2 linked regions of the Astyanax mexicanus genome follow. The main gene of each other region encodes a partner of the protein of the gene in region 2 in a complex. Links are inferred from orthologs where the notes say so. Each region holds a gene or a part of one and is shown on either strand. Other genes may lie near its edges.

Region 1 (11,439 bases), on a different chromosome or scaffold from region 2:
ATAGTCATTTACCACATTAGCAATGTACAGAGTGTATTTGTTTAGGAGTGTATTTGTTAGGACTAGTTTAAAGTTATCTTCATTGAAAAGTACAGTGCTTTTCCTTCAAAAATAAGGACGTTTCAATGTGACCCCAAACTTTTGAACGGTAGTGTTTCCATGATTTTACCAAATTGAAAACCTCTGGAATATAATCAAGAGGAAAATAGATGATTGCAAGCCATCAAACCAAGCTGAACCGCTTGAAATTTTGTACCAGCAGTGGCATATATTTATTCAAAAGCAGTGTGTTAGATTGGTTGAGGAGAACATACCAAGATGCATGAAACTGTGATTAACCAGGGTTATTTCACCAAATATTGATTTCTGAACTTTTAAAACTTTGAATATAAACTTGTTTTCTGTGTATTATTTGAGGTCTGAAAGCTCTGCAGCTTTTTGTTATTTCTCATTTTCTGCAAATAAATGCTCTAACTGACAATGTTTTTATTTGGAATTTGGGAGAAATGTTTTTCGTACTTTATAAAATTCAACAGCAGTTTATTTCACTCAAACATATACCTATAAAAAGCAAAATCAGAGAAACTGATTCAGAAACTGAAGAAACAGAAACTGAAGTGTGTTTATATATATATATATATGCAACCCCATATGTAAAGATATTAAAGATTATTTGTTAATATTGCATTCCTGCATTTTTACCTGAGACTTTGGAACATGGGCCATTTAGGGTTAATAATGGGGTAAAAAAAAATAAATCAATAAAAAATTATTTAATTTCAAATAGATGTATCCCCTTAAGTCTGAAGAGCAAAAGTTGGAAGAGGATCTCCTGGTCATAACAAATTGAAACAAAACAGTCAAAAACAAATGGAAGGAATTTGCATATTTTGTACTATTATTAAACCATTTAAGGAACTGGTAATTAGCAGTGGATATATGCCAAAGGCTCTTATGATCTCCAATCTCTCAGGCGGCACTATATCAAGAACTGTCATTCAGCAATAGCTAATAGACCCACATGTTTAATTGATTACTTTTGTAGACATTTGTCAAACATTACAATATAAAGTTTCATTCACAAATACAACCATAAACATTGTCTAGAAGTGTTGAATTCTCTGGGCTTGGGGGCATGTGGAATGGACCATCACCCAGGGGAAATGTGAATTGTGGTCAGACTAATCAATATATAAGGTATAACAGGATGCCCTTTGCTCCACAGCAGAGATATAAAAGACCATCCAGACTGTTATCAGCAACAAGTCCAAAATCCAGGGTCATAGTATGGGGATTTTTCAACAAGACAATGCAAACACACATGCTGGCGTGGTGACAACAAATGACAACACTAGTGGTAAATGCTTGACTCTTCAAATTTGTTTCTACCTTTGTTGCAGGGCCGCAATGCAGGAATAGTTGTACATTAAAAAAAAAAAAAAAGTGAAATAATTACTAAATTAGTTACATTAAATGTATGCCATAATGCATTTTTACTTGCATTTTCTATTCTGTCTCTACTTTTTTGATTTAAGGTTGTAAATGAAATTCTATATGGTTTTATATCTATTTTGTATCAAATGCACTATTTGTTGTGTTTCAGGTTAAAAATAACCAAATGTCTATTTAAAAAAAAAGTAAAAAAATTTAGCCGGTTTGCTGTGATCCTGAAGCTTATATGCTAATCACAAAACATGTTACATAAACTTTAATTTAATTTTCCATTAAAACAGTGTTTAATACTTAAATGTATTCATTTTATTAATTTCAAATTCCAAACAGGCAAGAAAACAGGCTTTTTTTCATGATCAGACAATACAGTAGCAGACTATGTCTATACTTAGTTGTTATATTGCAGCCACAAAAGGAGCCATTGTACTAAAACTATGTTGCATTAGATACTAATATTTCATTAATTAGCATTTGAATTGATTATCATGGTGCACATCAGGACAGGTTTTAGAAGCTTGTTCCACTGGTCCCCACAGTCACACACCTCATTCTTGAAGAGCGTGATCACACAGCCATCCATAATCTTGTCAGGAATTACAACCTGTCACATGGAGAATCACAAATGAAGGAGACTGAAACCCAAACCCAAAATGCATATAAATATAAACTAATACAATTTAATAATACTCATAATGTCAGTAAATAAACAACCAGTGGTTATTAATTAGGAAAGAGAAGCAGCAGGCTTACATGGTGTAGAAAAGCTGTTAAATGCTGAGCATCCTCTATTTTGTGCCGATGTAAGTGACAGTTTTTCCAGTCTTCTTCAGCGTCTCTAGAAGAACATCACTGTCTTTGTCTGACTCGATGAAGACCTTCTTGTTAGGAAGGTCAATGTCAAACTTGACATCTGTTGAATTAAGAATAGGCTGTAAACATTTTAAACATTCAAAATTGTGTAAACTGTAAGCTTTCAGCTGTCACCCTACCATGGCACTTCATTATATGTCAAAATGTCTCATAAAAACCTTGTATATCCAGTTTCTTATTCTTTAATTTTCCTTACACAATTGAAATGTGCATTTTATTATTCACATTTAGGGTAAATAAATCAGTAAAATAAATGAAATAAATTATTTACATTGACTTCTCCTGAAAATTAGGAAGATTTTTGCTTTTCCTGTAAATTTGTTTATTTGGCAATCAGAAAAAGAGTTCAGACAGCAGTGATGCACACTGTGCACACTCATTTGACCTAAAACAGTCCGTTACGAAACTGACTACGCAGTACAATATGAAACCAAAGAAGTGTGTACACATGATAAAAAAGCAATGGAAAAAAAAACAAAAAAAAACAAAAGCAAAAACAAAACAATAAACAGGTCAACTATATCACTGCTCTGAAATATCATTACATGCTTTTAAAGAGTTTACAAGAGTTTTAATTTGGGTCTTTGCTTCAAAAGAGCCTGTGGTAATATATGTCACAGACCCTTAATGATATGTAAAAAAGTTCCTTGATTTAGGGTGTAGTAAAACATAATATCGAGTACAAACTTTTGTCGACTAACCCACCTCTATTTACCCCCAGCATTACCAAATACAGTGTTTTTTAGCTGATGCTTCCAACAGGCCTCCAATGCTAGTGATAGGGGCATTGCATTTCCCCTGGCCAGAAATCTTTTTTTTTTTTCACCATTACCAAGCTCAAAGAAGCTCCACACTGCATTCGTAAGATTCTAAAGGCCCTGACATTAAAAACAAGGCACTGAAAACTTTGATAGTGCACCTTCAGGTAATTTTTCAGGCTTAAAATTAAGTCACGCTAAGTCAACTGACGAGTGACTGAGTAGTTCAAAAGATTAGTAGTTCTGAGTAGTTCAGTAAAGATTATGCCCTTTGTTTTATGGTGCTCTTCAGTCTGATGTAGACAATCACCAGATACTTTCAGCAACAACTTGAAGTTATGCATTTCCACTAATACATTTTGCCTAACCTGTTCCCCTATCCTACCTATTCGTTCATGCACGTCAGTCGACTTATTGATTCTCAGCGCCTCATTTTATATGTCAGGGCCCTTGGAATTCTGTCAATAATAAGTTTCTCAGTTGGTCATGGGGTGATTTTCTCTTTTATGGGGGGTCCTCTGTGATTTTATTTACGTCCGGAATGACCATGTACGTGTTTTTCTCAGATGTCCTATGAGAAAATTGCAGCCTGAATAACCTATTGTTTTTCACTGAACTCGTCCGGTAATTTAAGTCTCATCCATAATGCACATCTCTGCATTTTGTCACCTTGCATTTAAAAAAAATATATAAAATAGCTATTTGTCCACTGCCATGCACCGTAATTACACTTTGGGGACGCACTTATCCAAGGAAATACACATGAACACAACAGCAAGGGGAAATGGAGGAGTTACTGAATGCAATGTCATGTGACCGAGAAAGCCTAAAAAATCACTGGTCCTCCTGTTTTTTCAATTGCAGTCCCCCTAAGAAATTATTCCCGCCCGGATAGGGCTAAAGGTTCATCCTCATGATCATGTTTTATTACATTTTATGTCCATTTTACATCATTTCACACACTTTAAAATACAGGTTATTAAAATGTTGTGGTGTCATTTGGGTTGCATCAGGATTTTAGCCATAATATTTATATTTCATATAATATGTGCCCACAATACAAAAAAAACCCAAATGAGCTGCCCACTGAATTTATCAGATTTGATTTAGAAATTAGAATCAATATTCAAAAGTGGGTTTAGGCTCTTAGGGTAACTTGCCAGCTAACCCAGATAGCTAGTTAGCTAATAGTTAGATTACTCTAGGTTAGTTCAGCTAGCTGAGAAAAGTTGAATTAACTCCTAAACTACACACAAACATCAGCACATACAAACATCAACATACACACTGTAGACCTACCTATTTTTTTAAGAACCCGGGTGACTGCTCCAGAACATCCCTCACAGGTCATATCAACAAAGAATTCGTGGGTCTGTGGACAAAAACAGCGTTATCTCAGACTGTTTAAATTCCGAGTCCCTGCACCAGCCAAGCTATCCCTAACTTACTAAATCCAACAGGCTAAATTAGCAACTTAGCTAAACACGACCAGAAAATGAGCCCTTGGCCTTTAGACAGCAAAAGCCCTGAACTATCGGCTAAAGTCGGGAATCAAAGATAAAAGACACTTACTGCCATGATCCGATAAGATCTTGAGAGCGTCAAAAGAATTAAGTAAACGAAACCTCCTGTTAAATGAACACCAAGAGCTATCTGAACTCTGCTACTCTGCTGCTCGGTGCTGAGCGAAGACGTGTGACTTAGGGATGATCACTAAATTACCGCCCACTTTCTGAAGCGTGTATTACCATATTACAACACTGCGGAATCGGAGCATAATGGGAAAAGTTCTGAGGTTTTCTTTAAATAAATTTTCTCTATATCTTTATAGGTCTCTCTTAAAATTAGTTTTGTATTTGTCTATTATTAAGTACTAAAAGCAATTTAAAAATACTATCAAACAACGAGGATAACTAAACTAATGTTTATATGTCTTTATTTTTTTTAACTGAATTGAATCGTTAAATCGTTTTCTTATTTAATCTTACATGTGATTTGTTTATCAGTTAGGGCTGGTTCACGGCATGCTCTATATATATACATACACACAGGCCAATAGAGCTTTAGTGTAGTGTAAATAGTGTATGTACATATGGAACAAAAATATATGTAAAATATAAATTTGTAAACTTGCAAGTGACATTAAAATAAATAAATGAACAACAACAACAAAATACATTTAAAATGCAATTAAAAAGGAAATATATTCACACATTTCTTCTTTTCTGTGTGTGGTGTCTTTTCTGTGTTTTATGGTGAGGACTAAAACGTTCTTTTACTACATGTAAGAATTGAATTGCAATCTAATTTAAATGCATTTTTCATTTGCAACAAACCAAATCAAATCTTAATAATTCGATTTTTTACATATACAATACGAATTGTACGAATTAAAACTGAATCAGAAAATTTCATTGTATTACAAATAAGCTTCAAACTTTAGTTTGTACATGCTGGAATTTTCTGTTGTATTGCATTTTTCATTTTTACTAATGATGTATTAATTTCCTGAACTACTGTTATATCAAAATCCTATTAGATTAAAGTCTAAACGTGCCAGTTTGGTCAGGCTTTTCACAGAAGCTCCCTCAAGCTGCGTCAGCTGATCAGAGGATCATGTGACCGGCGCGCTCTGAACACCAGAAGAAACAACAAGCCTCGCAGCAGCAGTGAGACAGCGGGTCAGCGGCGGGGTTCACACCGCGCTGGAGATTTAAAACCGGACCGTGCTTTAAATACTGTTATCTGTTTAAGTTGTTAAAGGAAAATGTGGCTGTTCATTCGTCTTTGCTAGTGAAATAAGGCTTCTGCGCGGCCGCAGCGGCTCTCTGGAGCTCCCGGTGAGTAGCTAACCAGCCTAACTGTCAGTTCACTGAGTAATAAGCCCTTTTACTACAGGAGCCACGACTCAGCTGCAGCGGCAGGGAGTGAATGAGTGACAGACAGCTGGGCTGCTTTATAACATTAAATACACTGAAATATTAGATATATATATGGGAAATTTAACGACTTACGGTTACATGCAGCTACTTAAGTGACCAGCTATAAGATTATTAGCCAATTACAGGCTAGTAAACATGTCCTTGTACATTGTGCTTGTGTTTTTGTGCTTGTGTTTTAAGTGAATAGTTTAGTAAATAAACTTAAATTAGTTTAGAACAGTTTAACTCATTCCCAGATGGTCAAGATATGATTGTTGTCTGAGGTAAGTTTTCCATTGGACAAAGCAATATTAGAGCCAATAAATTAGGTCCAGTGTAACCCAAATAAATGCTAGTTAAAGAACTACACTTTATATTCAGCTCTGGGAAAAAATAAGACATGCGTTTAGATGATGAGTTTCTTTGATTTTACCAAATTGAAAACCTCTGGAATATAATCAGTAGGATCACAAGCTATCAAACCAAGCTGAACTGCTTGGAAAGCTCTGCATCTTTTTTTTTGTTATTTCAGCCATTTCTCATTTTCTGCAAATAAATGCTTTAAATGACAATATTTTTATTTGGAGTTTGGGAGAAATGTTGTCCGGTGTTTATAGAATAAAACAACAATGTTAATTTTACATATACCTATAAATAGCTAAATAAGAAAAACAGATTCAGAAACTGAAGTGGTCTCTTAATTTTTTCCAGAGCTGTAACTAGTTGTAGTAGTTGTTGATCAGCACTATTCAAGGAGACTTTGTTTAAATATGCTTTTCAATAAAACCAGCCCTTTAAGGCTATGAGGGAATACTGTTAATAGTTTACTTTTTGTAGTTAATACTCATTTCAGTGAATACTGCAGTTCAGACAGTCTTGTTCATATGCTAAACTGAAACTATGAAAATAGTTGTTATTACACAATGTCACATGCCTTTCAACCTCAATGCATAAAATCTATAGCAATGCACGTCACGACAACAATGTTTTGCGAATGATATGATGTCGCAGAAATGATTGCGATGAACAATATTATTGTCATTTTAAAGGAGAAATTTGGTGTAAAATGGACTTGAGGTGTAGTGAAACATGATTCATTGTAAGTGTATTGGGAGCATTGGCTATAAGCGCTGTATTTTGGAATGCTGGGGTTGGACGGAGGTGCAATATTAAGAAAATGTTTGTATTTATTATCATGTTTTACCACACCCCAAGTCTGTTTCATACAGAATTTATCATTTAAGCCCAGTAAATGCCACTAAAATAATGACAACATGATATCATATCAAACAAATTATTTAATTTTAAAGACAATAAACATTTACTTAATAGTAGTTTGGAAGACTGTACTTTTTTTGTCTGCAGCAGTACACTCTTATACCGCTTCCACCAATGTGGATTGAGCTTGAACTGTTCGCAGCATTTCCACCAACAAAAATAGGTTTGCTCATAAACACAATGAATGATATCACAATTATTACAATTATTAAGGTTATATCCATTTATTGTTTGATAAGTCGATAATGTAATTATCGTGACAGGCTGTATTTTAAAAGGACAACAGAACTTTTTGATATTTTATACTCTATATACTAAACAACACCAGCTGACTGAATTAATCAGTGGCTGTAATCATTGCAATGAATGTAGATACTGAGCGCCTATTCTAGCTTTTCATGCTATGTCCTTATCAACAAAACAGAAGATTTATAAAAAGAAAGATTGCTCATTTTAGTTTAAACTCCTTTACAACAAAGTAAAAACAGTGAAATCACATGTTTGGCATTTGCAGTGGTCAGCAGTTAATAGCTTCTCCGTGTGCAGAGTGCTGATGTAGAGGATTTGACTTCAGAGAAGTGTGAAAGAAATTACTCAGCTAAATTTAACCTTACATAACTAACAGAGTCATTTGGAATTTGTAGCATAATGTGACCTACTAGCACTGTGATTCATATACTAGCACTCTGTTTCATATATACAAGCACTGTGTTTTATGGACTAGTACTAGGAGTGGGCGATATGGCACAACCAAACAAAACAAATGTAACAGTTTAATACATTCACTTGAAACAAAATAATTTATAAACATTTGTCTATTTTGTAAACAGTAACTTTCCAAGACCCAGATTTTGAATATTAAATGAAAAATGTAACAAAAATAATGCAATTGAACAACAAATAATCTAAAAACGAAACATAAAATGCAGCATGTTTAGTACATGTATATAAACTGCAATAAAACATAGTTAAAAGTAAATACAGTAAATAGCAAAACAAATAATATTGCTTTTGTATAATAATATGTACTGCTTTCAAGAATATTGCTATTATCACAATATAGTGTCAGACATTTTTGTGATATTCTTGTGTACAAATGTGTATAATATGGCACACTACTACACAACTAATACTGTTTCATATATACTAGTACACACAGGAACTATTGTTTTTGTGATAATTTGAGCAAATATTGAAACTCAATAAATATAGGTCAATAAAATGAGTTTGCTTTGAACCAGCAGCGTAATAATGATGATAATAATGTTTTGCTTGCCTTTGATGGTTTACAGTGGCTGGATGAATTGTCTCCACAATAAAAGCAGGGACCAGTGAAACTTCCAGCTGAGCGGAACAGCCATGAATTCAGACATCAACTATCAGGATGGTAACCAAATTTAATATGCATTAGAAGAACATTTGTGGTGCAGCCTGTTTTGCTTTATTAAGTTAGACTCTGTATCAGTGCTTCTTTTTAGTACTGCAGTGAGGAAGATTTTTATTCCATATGTTTGTAGTTATACCTTGTAAGTATCAGTAGACTATATTCTTAGGGTACTTTTTTGCCAAGCAATAAAAATATGGTCATGTAGAAAAGGAACACCCCATGCAAATGTTTGTCTTTATGAAGAGATGTAATAAAAAGACACGTAGGCTGCATTTGAACAGTATTCTAAGATGAAGCTTATACAGCAAATCAAAGAAAACTTTTAAACGTAAGAAAACCTTTAATGTTGGAAAAAGCTGACAATTACCTCAATACCTCAGTTTTTTCGTAAATCTGTCCACCAGTCTCAGACATGGACTGGGAAAATGTCTTAGCTGTGTATGTATGGAATATTTCAAAATGTCCTTGAGTACTCTCTGAGACAATGGATAATTCATAGTGGATATTTAATGGAGCTTTGAGAGCATTGTTTTTTTTTTTTAATTATGCTTAAAACTAAAAAAACTAATACTCAATACTGTTTTAATAAAGCTCAAATATTCATGTGAATAAATATGCTTAAAAATCTAAGGTTTTTATGATGGTCCTATATTTTCAGCTGACTGTATTTCTATTGTATGCTTTGTTTTGAACCCTTTCAAAACACTAACGTCCCTTTCCGTTCTATGCACATTTTACTACGTACGGTCCAATAAAATCGCTTACATAAATACATTAAATCCACTTACTAAGAATGATTTTTCCTTCTCCCATATTGGTTTCATTATAAAGAGCATTGGGGATTTCTTTTTCTTTTTTCTTTATTTTACATTTGCACCAATATAAATATTAATACTAATTAAGAGTTTGTCAATTATTAAAGTTATTAAAGTTAATACATAGAAAAATGATGAATAAAAATGTCTTTTAAACTTTTTTTCAGGGCCTGCATTCTCCTGTACAGAGGAGAGTCCAACAGAGGACGAAGAGCCCGTCCATTCCCCGTCCCGCATGCAGAGACAGTACGAGCGAATTGGAGGCAGAACCGGATCCTCGTAAGACCAGTCACAGTAACTTAGTGTGAATGGACTGAAGTTGTTCTGATTAGACTGCTGGTCTCAGGCTCTGCTTCTTGTGTTTACAGGTTTTTTCAGACCTTAATTCATTTACTGAAAGGAAACATCGGCACTGGTCTGCTAGGCTTGCCTCTTGCTGTGAAGAATGCAGGGCTTGTGGTAGGTCTCTATTATCAGTTTAAAGTTATTACATTAAAAAATACATTATACACATTTTGTGTGCTTGGCTTTAATGGCCTGTATCATATAAAACTCACTTAAAAAAAAGACTGATACTATGGAAACAATAAAGGGCAGGCAGTCAGAACAAAAGTCAATAATGTGCAACCAAAAGGTATGCTAAATTACGCTGGCATGCCACATATCATGAGACAGAAACTAGTCTCATGTCCTACGACTTTTGGAATGGAATCTAGAAAATGAATTGAGACCTGCATTGAATGTGGATGTGATTTCTGCCAGTCGTTTGTTTTTCATCTGATGCACTTTCCATTTTGGGTGGTTATGCCCTTTATAAAGTATTCCCAATCCATCTCCCCTCACCCACTATCAGACCTCGCTCAAACTATGCCACCTATCACCTGCCAAACTATCACCTTGCCATGAGCACACTGACCAGTATTTAACCCCACTAACAATTAATACCATCTCCTGTGGTAACACTTAATGATCAAGTTACATACTGGTATCACATGAATTATGGCATGTCAGTATATAAAGGATTAAGAAAGGCTTTTTATATATAGGATATGAGTTTTCTTTTTAATCTAGAGAAAAACAGATTTTCTTTTTGATCCAGCTCTAATGATGCTGTTTTATTACATTACTTTAGTGTTTTAAAACTCTGTCGTCACAAAAAATAACATTATTGTTGTTGCCAGATCCAAATAATCTAAAAAAAAATTTAAAAACAGCAAAAATGAAAAAAAAAAAAAAAAAAAAACTATGAACGCTCTTGCAGGACAGTAACCATATATATACTGATTGTTGAATTCACTTCATTGAAACTTGTATATTAGGTATATTATAAATATGTTCAGTTCATTAACAACTGACTTTGTGAAACTGTCTGCAGGTGGGTCCTCTGAGTCTCTTCGTGATGGGCATTGTGGCTGTGCATTGCATGCAGATTCTGGTGAAATGTTCCCACCATCTAAGTGCTAAGTAAGTGTCTTGGTTAAACAGCTGTTAAACCTCATTTGTTTGTCCAGAGCTTGCTTACTCAGTTCAGTCATTTGAGGAAGTAAGTCACGCCTGTATCCGTGTACATCACGTTATTACTCTAGGACATCACTGTTTACTTTTTCTTAGATACTACTCTCAGACATTCAGGGATTTTAACTTTATAAAATCTACTCCTACATGTAGCACATAATACACAACATCGCTTTGTTACAAAGTTAAAACCTTTATAGGATATATGAGAGGGCTGTGTATCAGCGCAACCAAAACCACTGTAGACAAGCCACATAAACAGTTTGCGTCACTAGCCTGATGCGGTCTGCTCATGTGAGAGGAGAGAAAAATAAAAGGTTAAAAAAGGTTATTAAATGGGCTGTGTATAGGCATTACCCTGGCTATATGATGCACATCATGATACAGGGGTTACAATTCAATGTATTGCAGTATATTGCAAAAAAAAAATTAAGCAAAGCAGT
Region 2 (11,054 bases):
CCTAAGGAAATGTAATTTTTCACGTATTTAAGAAGAAATGTAATTTTACTGTGTGGCACAGTAACTTTGGGTCATTTAAGTTCATGGCAAACCCTGATTTTTCACATGCTGAACATTTAATCCCTAATGCCTTAAGTAGGGGTGTGCCATATTGTATTGTACACAATAATATCACAAAAATGTTTGACACAATAAAAAGAAACTGTATTTGTTTTGCTGTTTACTAGGGGTGTCACGATTCTCTAAATCCTCGATTCGATTTCATTTTCGATTTGAGGGTCACGATTCGATTCGATTCTCGATTTTCTTGTTTTTTTTTCTTGTTATTATTTTATGCCTCATAAAATTTAAATAATATATTTATTATTATTATTATTATTATAAATATTATAAATATTATTATTATTATTTATTAAGATATATATGGTAATGCCATCTAGTGACTTTTTTTGGTAGCAACAGTGTGCACTATTAAAACAAGCAGTTTATCAGAGCTGTGTGTGGATGGCTGGTGAAACTGCTCATTACATGAAGCTGCAGTTCTTCATCCAACCACTAGCAGCAGCAGCACAAGCCCCGCTCTCTTCACTCAGTCACTACTTCAGTACAGCCCAGCCACGGGCTACAGAGCTCAGCCAGTCCGTTTTTACTGTTTCTGTAAACAAATAAAGGTTTTAACCCCACTAACCGGATAATACAGCTCACTACAGTTCATCTTTCAGCCCAAGCAGCTAACAGCAGCAGGTTAGAACAGCCGACACGGAGGCACTGCTCGGATTACATTATAAACAGGTCAGTTAGCGCGCTGCTAACCTCAGGATGTTTATAACTACGGAGTTTAGTGGACACACCACGGCCGCCAGGTAAGTCTTTTAAAGGCTACTGAAGACTATTAAAGGCTATTAGAGTGTAACCCCTGGCTCCCAGGGGTTACAAGAGGTTATTGAAAGCATTATTGGGGGGCAGAAATCAGTACAGGCTGGTTAGATAAGTGATGTGGGTATTGTCTTATAAATATTTACACATAACTTATATCTCTCCTGAAAAGCTTTTATTTTAGTCAGAAACACGCTTGTGTTTACTTTATCTGAGAGAAAGATGTTTTTTTAATTCAATGGAAAGCAACAGGTGTAGTCAATTATAAGTTTAAGATTTTTAATCCACCTCACTGTGATCTATAGTCAGTGTTCTCAAGTCACACTGACACACGCATTTCAGCGAGTTCACACGCTCTCACCTGCGCGCACCCACCCCTCCGTTAGATACAGATACAAAACCTGCGCGCCCAACCCCCGCCCCCCCTCCCCCGTTGGACAGATAAAAACAGTGATCACACTCCCGCCGACTGCGCTCATGCAGTGGCTATCTCTATTTAAATGAATAGGATGCGCTGTGTTGGTGCCGCGCCATTTGCGTAGCGCGCTGCGCTATTTGCGTAGCGCGCGCGGGAGGGATCGTCGATCCTCTTTTTGACTTCGATACTCGAGATCGTGACCTCATTTCGATTCGATTTCGATAAAATATCGAGATCGTGACACCCCTACTGTTTACTGTATTTATTTTTTGTTTGGAGTTTACAGGAATGCACTAAATTTGCTGCACTATATACTCTTTTGCAAATTTGTGAGTCTGGAAGTTACTGTTTACGAAATAAACAAAAAAGTACAGATGTTCTGTCTTCACTGAATGTATAAAATATAGTCATACTAAAGTAAACTAAAAATAAAATAAAATAATTTATGTTTTTCATATTCTCAAGAATACTGTTTTATATATATATATATATATATATATATATATATATATATATATATATATATATATATATATATATACTGTTATATTATACCCTGAAATATTATGATATTACTTTAGGGTCATATCACCCACCCCTGTCCTTGAGCAGGTAAAGTATATACTGAATGTTAAAAGGGTGCTGTCAGATGTGCAGCATAGCCTATCCCCTCAAAAGTGTTATAAACATGTAACTTTAATTTTTCTAACCAAAATTTTGTTTTGTATAACTGTGAGTGGCTATAATATTGGTTATCATCACTGTGCTTTGTGGATGATGGAAGTGCGTAAATCAAGTAGCCACTCCCATCTAAATCATTTATGCTGAGATTTTATATCCCATGTGAATCAGTCATAAATTTTACAGACAACCTGTAGTAAAATCATATTACTTCCCTTCCTCATGAAAAACTAACCCCATCCAAAAAAAAGCTACTGACAATAAAGGTGTGCAACAAAGCACATGTAATATGTTTAACAGAATGCAACCAATCAGGTTAGTGAAGAAGAAAACATAAGGAAACACAATACAGCTTCAGAAACTCATGGGAGGACAGTAAGGGCAGCTTTACAAACTAACAGCCAAACCCAAGCCCACAGATTAGCTGAGTAATACACTTGCACACTTTTTCCACAGGTTTAATAACTATATGTGGAAATTAATCTTCTGTAAATCTCTAATCCAGTCCTCCAACAGACTGTATTATTTATTATTGTGTTTGTGATGCCTACCTCCTACAAATAAGTTCTAATAGGTATGAAAGCACTGTTTAGCCATAATATTAAAACCACCAGTGCAGCCAAGGCAGCTCTGACCCCCTGAGTCATGGACTCCACAAGACTTATGCTGCCCTGTGGTTTTTGAGACCAGGAGTAAAGTTAGCAACAGGTACTTTAACGCCCTGTGAGATGGGTTGTGAGATGGGACTTCCAAGGGTCATATCTATGACCCTTAGGCTCCCATGACCTGGTTACCGGTCCATTGGTTATCCACTGGCTGTTAGGAGTACTTTTGGTAGGTACTGATCACTGTATACAGAGAAACCCACAAGACCTGTCTGATGTTGTGTAGATGTTCTGATCCAGTTGTTTAGCCCTCACAGTCTGGCTCTTGCGAAGTGGTTCAGATGCTCATTCTCGTGCCCATGTTTCCTGCTTCCAGCACATCGACTTCAAGAATTAAATGTTCACTCGCTGCCTAATCTGTATGTTCCACCACTTGAAAGGTGGTTTTAATGTTATGGCTCACTGGTGAACAGCTTGTGGGAGAATCACAAGACCATTGTGCTGAACAGAGGAATGTTAAATGTTTATAAAAAGGAAGGAAATGACCAAGAAACTGTTTTATCCACAAGAAAATGAATCGTTCACAATGACTGTGATGTTTTAGAGAAGGGTCACTGCAACTTATTTATATGAGCTGTTATATTTAAAGTAGTATATTTGCTTAATAAAAAGCTAGATATGTTACACTTTTTACTCTATATAAGCTTAACAGCTCATTTCATGTTAGACTTAAACAATATTTAATATACTTAACTATTCAAACAAATGACCACTATCATCAGAAGTATATTAATGATTTTAAATGTAGCCAATAATTTACACAATGGGTAAATATTTCATCATATCCTAAGGAAATTTAATTTTTCACGTATTTAAGAAGAAATGTAATTTTATTGTGTGTGGCACAGTAACTTTGGGTCATTGCCAACCCCAGATTTTTCACGTTCTGAACATTTATTCCCTAATGCCTTAAGTAGGGGTGTGCCATATTGTATCGTACACAATAATATCACAAAAATGTTTGACACAATAAAAAGAAACGGTATTTGTTACGAAATAAACAAAAAATTACAGATTTTTCTGTTTTCACTGAATGTATGAAATATAGTCATACTAAATTAAACTAAAAATATATATATATATTTTTTTTATAAAAAAAGATCCCCCTGGCATTATTTGTTACAGCAACTAATTTCACAGCAAAACACAAATAGTGAATAAACAGAATAACACAAATAACACTGAGCGGATAATTAAAGGAAAATGTTCAGGGTTCTACATAAAACTATGTATAGAACCACTAGTACAGAACTATACTATTTATTTTCATTATTAATGAAGACTACATAAAGAACCATATAAAGAATTATACAGAATTCCCTTTAATGAAAAATAGGAAAAGCACTGATAATCTATTTATTTTATTTATTTTTCCTTCAAATTGTAAATGTAATATTTTAGAAATTATGATTAATAAATTAATCAGTCTTACCTTGAAGGTTCACCTTATTTTAAGTCATTTAAACTTAAAATAAGCACAAAAAGCGACCAGTCAAGTTATTCTACCTCTTGTGTCTAAATTTATACCAAAAAATCAGTGACTTTTGCTTGATTTAAGTATAAATTCACTCGTTTTGAGACTTATTTTAAGAAATCTCATTAAGAAAACAGATTTATTCTGTTTAATATAAGCTCATATGTCTCAATTTGCATATACTTTGTCTATTTTTTTTACTACTTACAAACTATTCCAGCTTAACTGTTGTGCAACAGCTCACAAAAGCAGCTAAATTAGCTAAGTATAATGGTTACAAACAGATTACAATGGCATTTAAATCGTTTATAAAAGGTAAAAAGCCATAAACAAAAGATAAACGAGTCAATAATCTAATTTTTAGCCCAAAATCAGATCCATGGCAACCGAAACTAGCGTTAGCTAAGCTAGTTAAGTAACGTAACGTAAAGTAGTAAACGCTGGGAGTTGGGCTAAGCTAATGTAAGCTAACATTGAGAGTTAACTTATATTAAAGTCTATAACAGAACTTTTAACACACAAAACACGCATTTTACACTGATTATAAACTCTGTGCTGTATTTACCTTAGTGTGAGAGCCCTGTAGAGATCTCTTCGGGCTGGTATGGGATGTAAATCCTCTGATAGAGAGAGTTAGTTAGCTAACAGAGCTAGGCTAGCTAACTCTAGCCTCCACGGCTAACAGCGCTCAGTACCCGCGGAGCTCCGCGCTCCTCCTCGCCGCCGGCTGAAGGCTGAAACCACGCCGACACCGGGTCAACCATTCCCCCGCAGTGAGAGAGCAGAGCCCGGCGGTACGTGTGGAGCTGTCACACTGCCCGAGTCTCCTCTCACAACAGATTAATCAGACCTGCCCACATCCACACACACCGCGCTCAGGAGACTCAACACCCGCCACCAACTGCGCAGAGCTGCCACAAACTGCGCAGAGCTGCCACTGACTGACTGACTGACTGACCAGCGGCGAGCAGCACGTGACAACCTGCACTCCTGCCACCTCCACCAGAGCTTTCCCTCTGTGTGACCAAAGAGTAGCATTCACAAACACCACTTTCTCTGTTTTACACACACCAGCCCTATAAAATTGATAAATTTCACATGGTTTTATAGTTTTTTAACTATTTCCTACTATGTGCAATATAATAGTTTAATTTTTACTGCTGTGGTGAGCAACTATATTCAAGAGTTTTATTGCCAGGTTTAGGTATATGAGTAAAATTAACATTGTTGTTTTATTCTATGAACTACAGACACCATTTCTTCGAAATTCCAAATAAAACATATTTTCACTTAGAGCATTTATTTGCAAAAAATAGGAAATGGCTGAAATAAAAAAATAGACGCAGAGCTTTCAGACCTCAAATAATGCAAAGAAAACAAGTTCATATTCATAAAGTTCAGAAATCAATATTTGGTGGAATAACCCTGGATTTTAATCAGTTTTCATGCATCTTGGCATGTTCTCCTCCACCAGTGTTACACACTGCTTTTGGATATCTTTATGCACACACTCCTGGTGCAAAAATTCAAGCAGTTCAGCTTGGTTTGATGGCTTGTGATCATCCATCTTCCTCTTGAGTATATTCCAGAGGTTTTCAATTTGGAAAACATAACAAGGAAAACATAATGTCTCTTTTTTTTTTTTTTTTTTACCAGAGCTGTATATATTTTAGTCTTGTCAATCAATTTAAAAATATATGTATTTGTATGTTTTAGGGGAGATAAAGCCAACGGGGGGCGCTGGAATAAAGAATGTATGATAAATTGAATAGAGGAAAGTTTTTTTACTTTATTGTAAATATCTCAGCCTGGTTGTTTAGAATTTGCTGAGTATAAAAATCTCAGGAATCTTGTAGATCAGCTAAACCATCACACTCACTAAAACATACTCTGCCCTCTTGGTCAAGAGCTAATCTGGTCAAGCAGATTAATCAGCTCGACCTATTATATTTGGCTTCGCTGTTCAGTAGGACATTTGTGCCGTCATATACAAGTACAACATATGTGATCTGACTGCAGTGCTGTTGATGGACAGAAGAGTGTGCTGTGTGCACACTGAGTTTTCCTGAAGTCCACAACAATCTCCTTTACAATGTAAAAAATAATTTAAAAAATAAAACACATTGAATGAGAAGAGGTGTGCCCAAACTTTTGACTGGTACTGTATATTTTAGTATATTTTGTTTGTATTTTTCCAAACACTTCTGTTCTGTCATCTGCACTGTTGTGACGTTGCACATTTTCCCAATGTGGGATTAATGAAGGCAGTCAGTAGTAAGGAAAGCACGACCTCTAGCGCTGAATAAATATATGACATATAATAAAAGCAGCACTATTCTCTGTATTGTGAACAGTAAGCTTTGGAAAACCAGATGCAAAATGGTAAGCAGTTAAATTAATATTCCTGCAAATGTGATTTTTATATAAATCATTTGTAAACTTAAAAGGGCAATGTACTCCAGAACAAAAAACAAATACCCCTAGACAATTTAACATTTTTAATTAGGCATTGTTTAATAATAATATTTGCATAATGCATGCATGGGCATTGAATATGTGTAGACTTGGTGTAAAAGGAAATTTCTTATAATTGCTGTGATGGAAAAATATAAATAAATTGTGATGATTCTGTAATATGCTTTGTTTGATTTAAGTTTATTAAAACATCAAAGAAAATGTTATAAAATGTACCAAATGCACTTTAAAGTGAAGATTAAAATTCCTCTATATTTGTTATATTACTATATCACTCATATCCATTCACTTGGCAACCAAAAACTCCACTAAAGCAACGCCTTAGCAATTCCCAGATACGGGTACCATAGGAACCTCTTAGCAACTGCATAGCAACCATCTTAGCAACTCCTCATCACAGCAATACTGCTGAGCATTTACAGGAACTACACTGCCTAGTTTTTATCTATTATTATGTTTATTATATTTTTTTAATCTACCAGCTACATCAAGCCTCTATACCAAAGGGGTACCAGGACAGCTGTAGACTGAAGAGCTGAGCTTGTCTTCTCCATGCATCCCTCCATGGCAGAGGAGGAGCACTCCTGCTCTGAAAACTTAATAGGAGCAAACACCAGGGCAGCCAAGCGTACATACACCTGCTGGCCTTTTCTGAAAAAAAGACGATTAGGCTATTTTTGGTATGTACTCTCCCTTTCCTACCAGTTTAGACTTGAACCTGGTTGTGCTTGTTTTGTTTGCTTAATCATACAGACCAGACATTTTAGTCTATTTACCCTTACTGCTTAGAGATATATATGCCATTCACTTACCACACATTCACACAAATAAATCCAGACTGTTCTCATACAGAGTTCCCCAATGGTGGAACAAGCTACCTGCCACCACCAGATCAGGAGAATCTCTCACTATCTTTAATAAACTCCTGAAGACAGAGCTCTTCAAAGAGCACTTACTCTCCTAACACCTCTAACTAACTACCTTCTACTACCAGATCAGGAGAATCTCTCACTATCTTTAATAAACTCCTGAAGACAGAGCTCTTCAAAAAGCACTTTCTCTCCTAACACATTTCCTGCTCCACTTGCTTTTTCCTCCTCTATTCCAATATTTCCCTTTGACCTCCTTTAGGCCCTGACTTGACCTCCTTTAGGCCCTGACTAAACTTCTACAACCTCTATTGCTAAATGTACATCATTATTTTGAGTTTTTTTGGATTAAGAGCATCTGATAAAAATGTAATGTAATGTAATGTAATGTAACTAATTAGTTAGCTAATAAACAAGTCCTTTATGAAATGGTATACTATGTTTGAAGAGAAAAAAAAACTAAAATATGCAAATAAGGGGGTTAAATCAACACCAAACTATATTGATCACTGATGTCATTTTTTTTTTGGGGCACTTTTTAGATTTTAAGTTAATAAAACTTGAATTCAGTGTTGCTGAATGGCTTTAAATGTATTGTTTGTATTACACTTTACATACCAGTCATTAAGATGGATCTATATTGTTCGTATTCTATTGTTATAGCTTGTATGGTGTTCTTGCAGTGTAGAAATTGACATTTTATATTACTACTACTTCTCATTATTATTATCATATTTTTTTATGAGCACATTTCTTCTAACAGCATTGTGAGTATACAAGAGCCCCAAGACTATAGCTAAATGTTTGAGTATTCAGCTCTGTTAGACAAAAGTATTTTCATTCCACCGTATATGGGTTTTGGGATCCAACAGCAGTATTTAAGCAGCTTTACTACACACTACAGTCATCTGTCTACACCAATTTAACTATTATTTACAGTACACATACATTTAAACATAAATAGCAGTATTGACACAGCTTTACCACAATCTAAAGTGGGAGTGATTTAACCCCTTAAAATGCATTGTCCTGTATACTGGCTACAGGTGTAGGTGATACAAAACCCTCTTTTCTGCAGTAAAATGATTTATTTACATTCTGAAAATCTGAGGGCTTTGAAATCTCCTATAAAACACATGTAGAAGCTGCCTGTTCACATTCTACTCCACTTAATAATTCCAGATCAGTAACAGGAATCAACCCAAATTCTGCAGGTTTGAAAATAGACTATAATAACTAGAATAACATAATTAAACTAAAGATTTGGAAGACATGAACTGTTTGATTTGTATTCAGAAAAATATAGATTTTAAAATGAAGATAAGTGTCACATCCTGGTCTCGTCTCGTGTCTCTGTGTGTCTTCCCCACGTGACCTATGCTCCCCTGTGTCTCCCATCTCAGTACCTTTCCACCACTTGTCTCATTTGTAGCTCCGCCCCTTCCCCAGGTGTTTCCAATTATAGTGCGTTTCCTGTTTCTTTAAATAGCCCTCCTCTGCCACTTTGTCTCTGTCGGTCTTTGCACCTTCACCTGTCATTCATCTCTCTGTGTTTTCATAACGTTTCTCAGTGTCTCTCTTGGTTCCTTGTTTCTTGTTTATAGTTTATTTCCTTGTTTATTTCTTGTTCCCTAGCTCCCTGTTTATACCCTGCTTGTGTTGATTCCTAGTTTATATATTCTTGTATATATTCCCTGTTTGTTTATTTATTATCTCTAGTTGGTTTAGTTTAGGTTCTTTGATTTGTTTTGGTTATTGGTTATTTGTGTATCTTTGTTTCATGTTACTTGTTCCTTGTTATCTTGTTATTTATTTATTAAATTATTATTTATTTTCACCCTACCTGCACTTGTGTCCGCCTCCTCGTCTTCCTGCCTGGGTCTACGTGACAATAAGAAAATAGCTCATTTTATGATTTTATTTATTATAGTTTGACATTAGCAGATTTACTTAAATATTTTTTTTATTACAATTACAATTATGCTTTTTTTGAGTAATGTTCCTTATCAAACATAACAAGCTTTTATGTAATGCTTGAATATAAATCCTCAAGATTTAGTGGTGCAATGCCAGTCAGACTAATGACAAAAATCCTGTCCTGTTAAGGGGACGTGATAGATTTAAGGTGACAGTGAATTTAAGGTAAGTAATTGGTTTAAGGTACAGTTGCATTTGGGGTAGCTCTGAATTTAAGGTAACATTTTTTTAATGTTGTTAGTTGGACACTGTTGTAGCACACAGTTTAAATGCAGTATAACAGCGTGGAACAGTGTGTATTGCCCTGAGCTGTGCTGTAGGTTTCAGACAGACTGCAGCAGACACTGATTACACTGAGATGGTGAGGAGCTTTACGCATTCTGCAGCCTGTCGTGTGTATCTGACACACTGACCTACTTTCAGTGTGGGTGCTTTATACCCGCCCATAAATTACCCTGGGGGAGGGCAGAAAGGAGGGGCAGAGGCATGTACAGGGGGTCTGTAAACTAACTACCCCACAAGCATGAAGCATGTGCAAAATAGTTTATTATAATATTTAAAACACTCTCAGCTTACACATACATGATGAATTGGTGTACGTGCCACAATGGCGACAGCAAAGCAAGAGTAAACACCGGCTGGTGTAGGGTTTTTGTTTAGGAAAAAAGGAAGGAAATGAAATGTAAATTTACAACATTTTCTTTAATATGTTTTAATAGAATATTTTACTTACATTTATTTATCTGTATATAAACATGTTGATGGAGATATATACCCATATCTGGTGCCAATAGGTTCATGTTTATCTTCTCCAGCATGAATTTAGACTCTCTTTACAGTACAGGCAAAAGTTTGGACTTAAATTGCCTTTATTTTTGTAATGTAGGTAATAAATAGACAATAACTTTTTGTTTATTGAAATAAGATGAGCAGTGGGACAGGTCAATAAAAACAGTAGATGATCATGAAAAAATGTCTTTAATATTATTCTACAATATAGGAAATAAATTAAATAAAGAAATGCATGTGTGTTTGTGTGCGTGGTGAGGATGTTTGTGTGCATTTGCACATCTCTGTCAGCGATTGGTGCCTTTTAAAGTAGCTGAGTAATGCGGCATTCATTATAAGCGGTGTCCACAGACATTTGGAGGGAACATTTGGATGTTTAGCCAAGATTGTGTCTCTATCTATTATAAGCAGCAATGTAGAGCAGTGCAGTCATTAGCATAGTATGCATAGCAGAGAGAGAAACAGTGAAGAAAGAGAGTGTCAGTGCAAGAGAGAGTCTGTGAGAGTCAGTGAGAGAGAGAGTCGATGTGTGAGAAAGAGGCAATGTGTGTGTGAGAGAGAGTCAGTGTGTGAGAGTGAGTCAGTGTGTGAAAGAGAGAGACAGTCAGTATGAGTGAGAGAAAGAGAGTCAGTGTGAAAGAGAGTCAGTCAGAGAGAGTGTGAAAGAGCCAGAGTGAGTGTGAGAGAGAGAGAAGAGTCAGTGTGAGAGAAAGAAGAGAGAGCCAGTGTGAGATGAGTATCAGAGTCAGTATGAGAGAGAGGAGAGTAAGTCAAAGAGAGTCAATGAGAGAGAGAGAGATAGAGTCAGTGTGTGAGAGAGTCAGTGAGAG

The links.
Region 1: the proteins of atp7a (region 2) and atox1 are in contact, whole or in part, in an NMR structure (PDB 2K1R), measured with the Homo sapiens proteins. The link is inferred for Astyanax mexicanus from reciprocal best matches to the Homo sapiens genes ATP7A and ATOX1. Residues at the interface, in NP_000043.4 of Homo sapiens: Cys19, Asn20, Ser21, Cys22, Trp24, Thr25, Gln29, Asp67, Asp68, Met69, Gly70, Phe71, Asp72; in NP_004036.1 of Homo sapiens: Thr11, Cys12, Gly13, Gly14, Cys15, Ala18, Arg21, Val22, Lys25, Lys57, Thr58, Gly59, Lys60.

The regions. Positions count from the first base shown.
Region 1 is NC_064417.1:39,243,875-39,255,313, forward strand, and holds atox1 (copper transport protein ATOX1), read right to left. Parts: upstream 4,801-11,439; 5' UTR 4,659-4,800; coding exon 4,653-4,658; intron 4,453-4,652; coding exon 4,380-4,452; intron 2,363-4,379; coding exon 2,238-2,362; 3' UTR 2,203-2,237; intron 2,054-2,202; 3' UTR 1,736-2,053; downstream 1-1,735. Other genes in the region: slc36a1 (proton-coupled amino acid transporter 1), read left to right, coding at 8,639-8,666, 9,649-9,760, 9,850-9,940, 10,857-10,945. UniProt on the Homo sapiens protein: Binds and deliver cytosolic copper to the copper ATPase proteins. May be important in cellular antioxidant defense.
Region 2 is NC_064409.1:71,793,909-71,804,962, forward strand, and holds the start of atp7a (copper-transporting ATPase 1), read right to left. Parts: upstream 5,064-11,054; 5' UTR 4,680-5,063; intron 1-4,679. UniProt on the Homo sapiens protein: ATP-driven copper (Cu(+)) ion pump that plays an important role in intracellular copper ion homeostasis.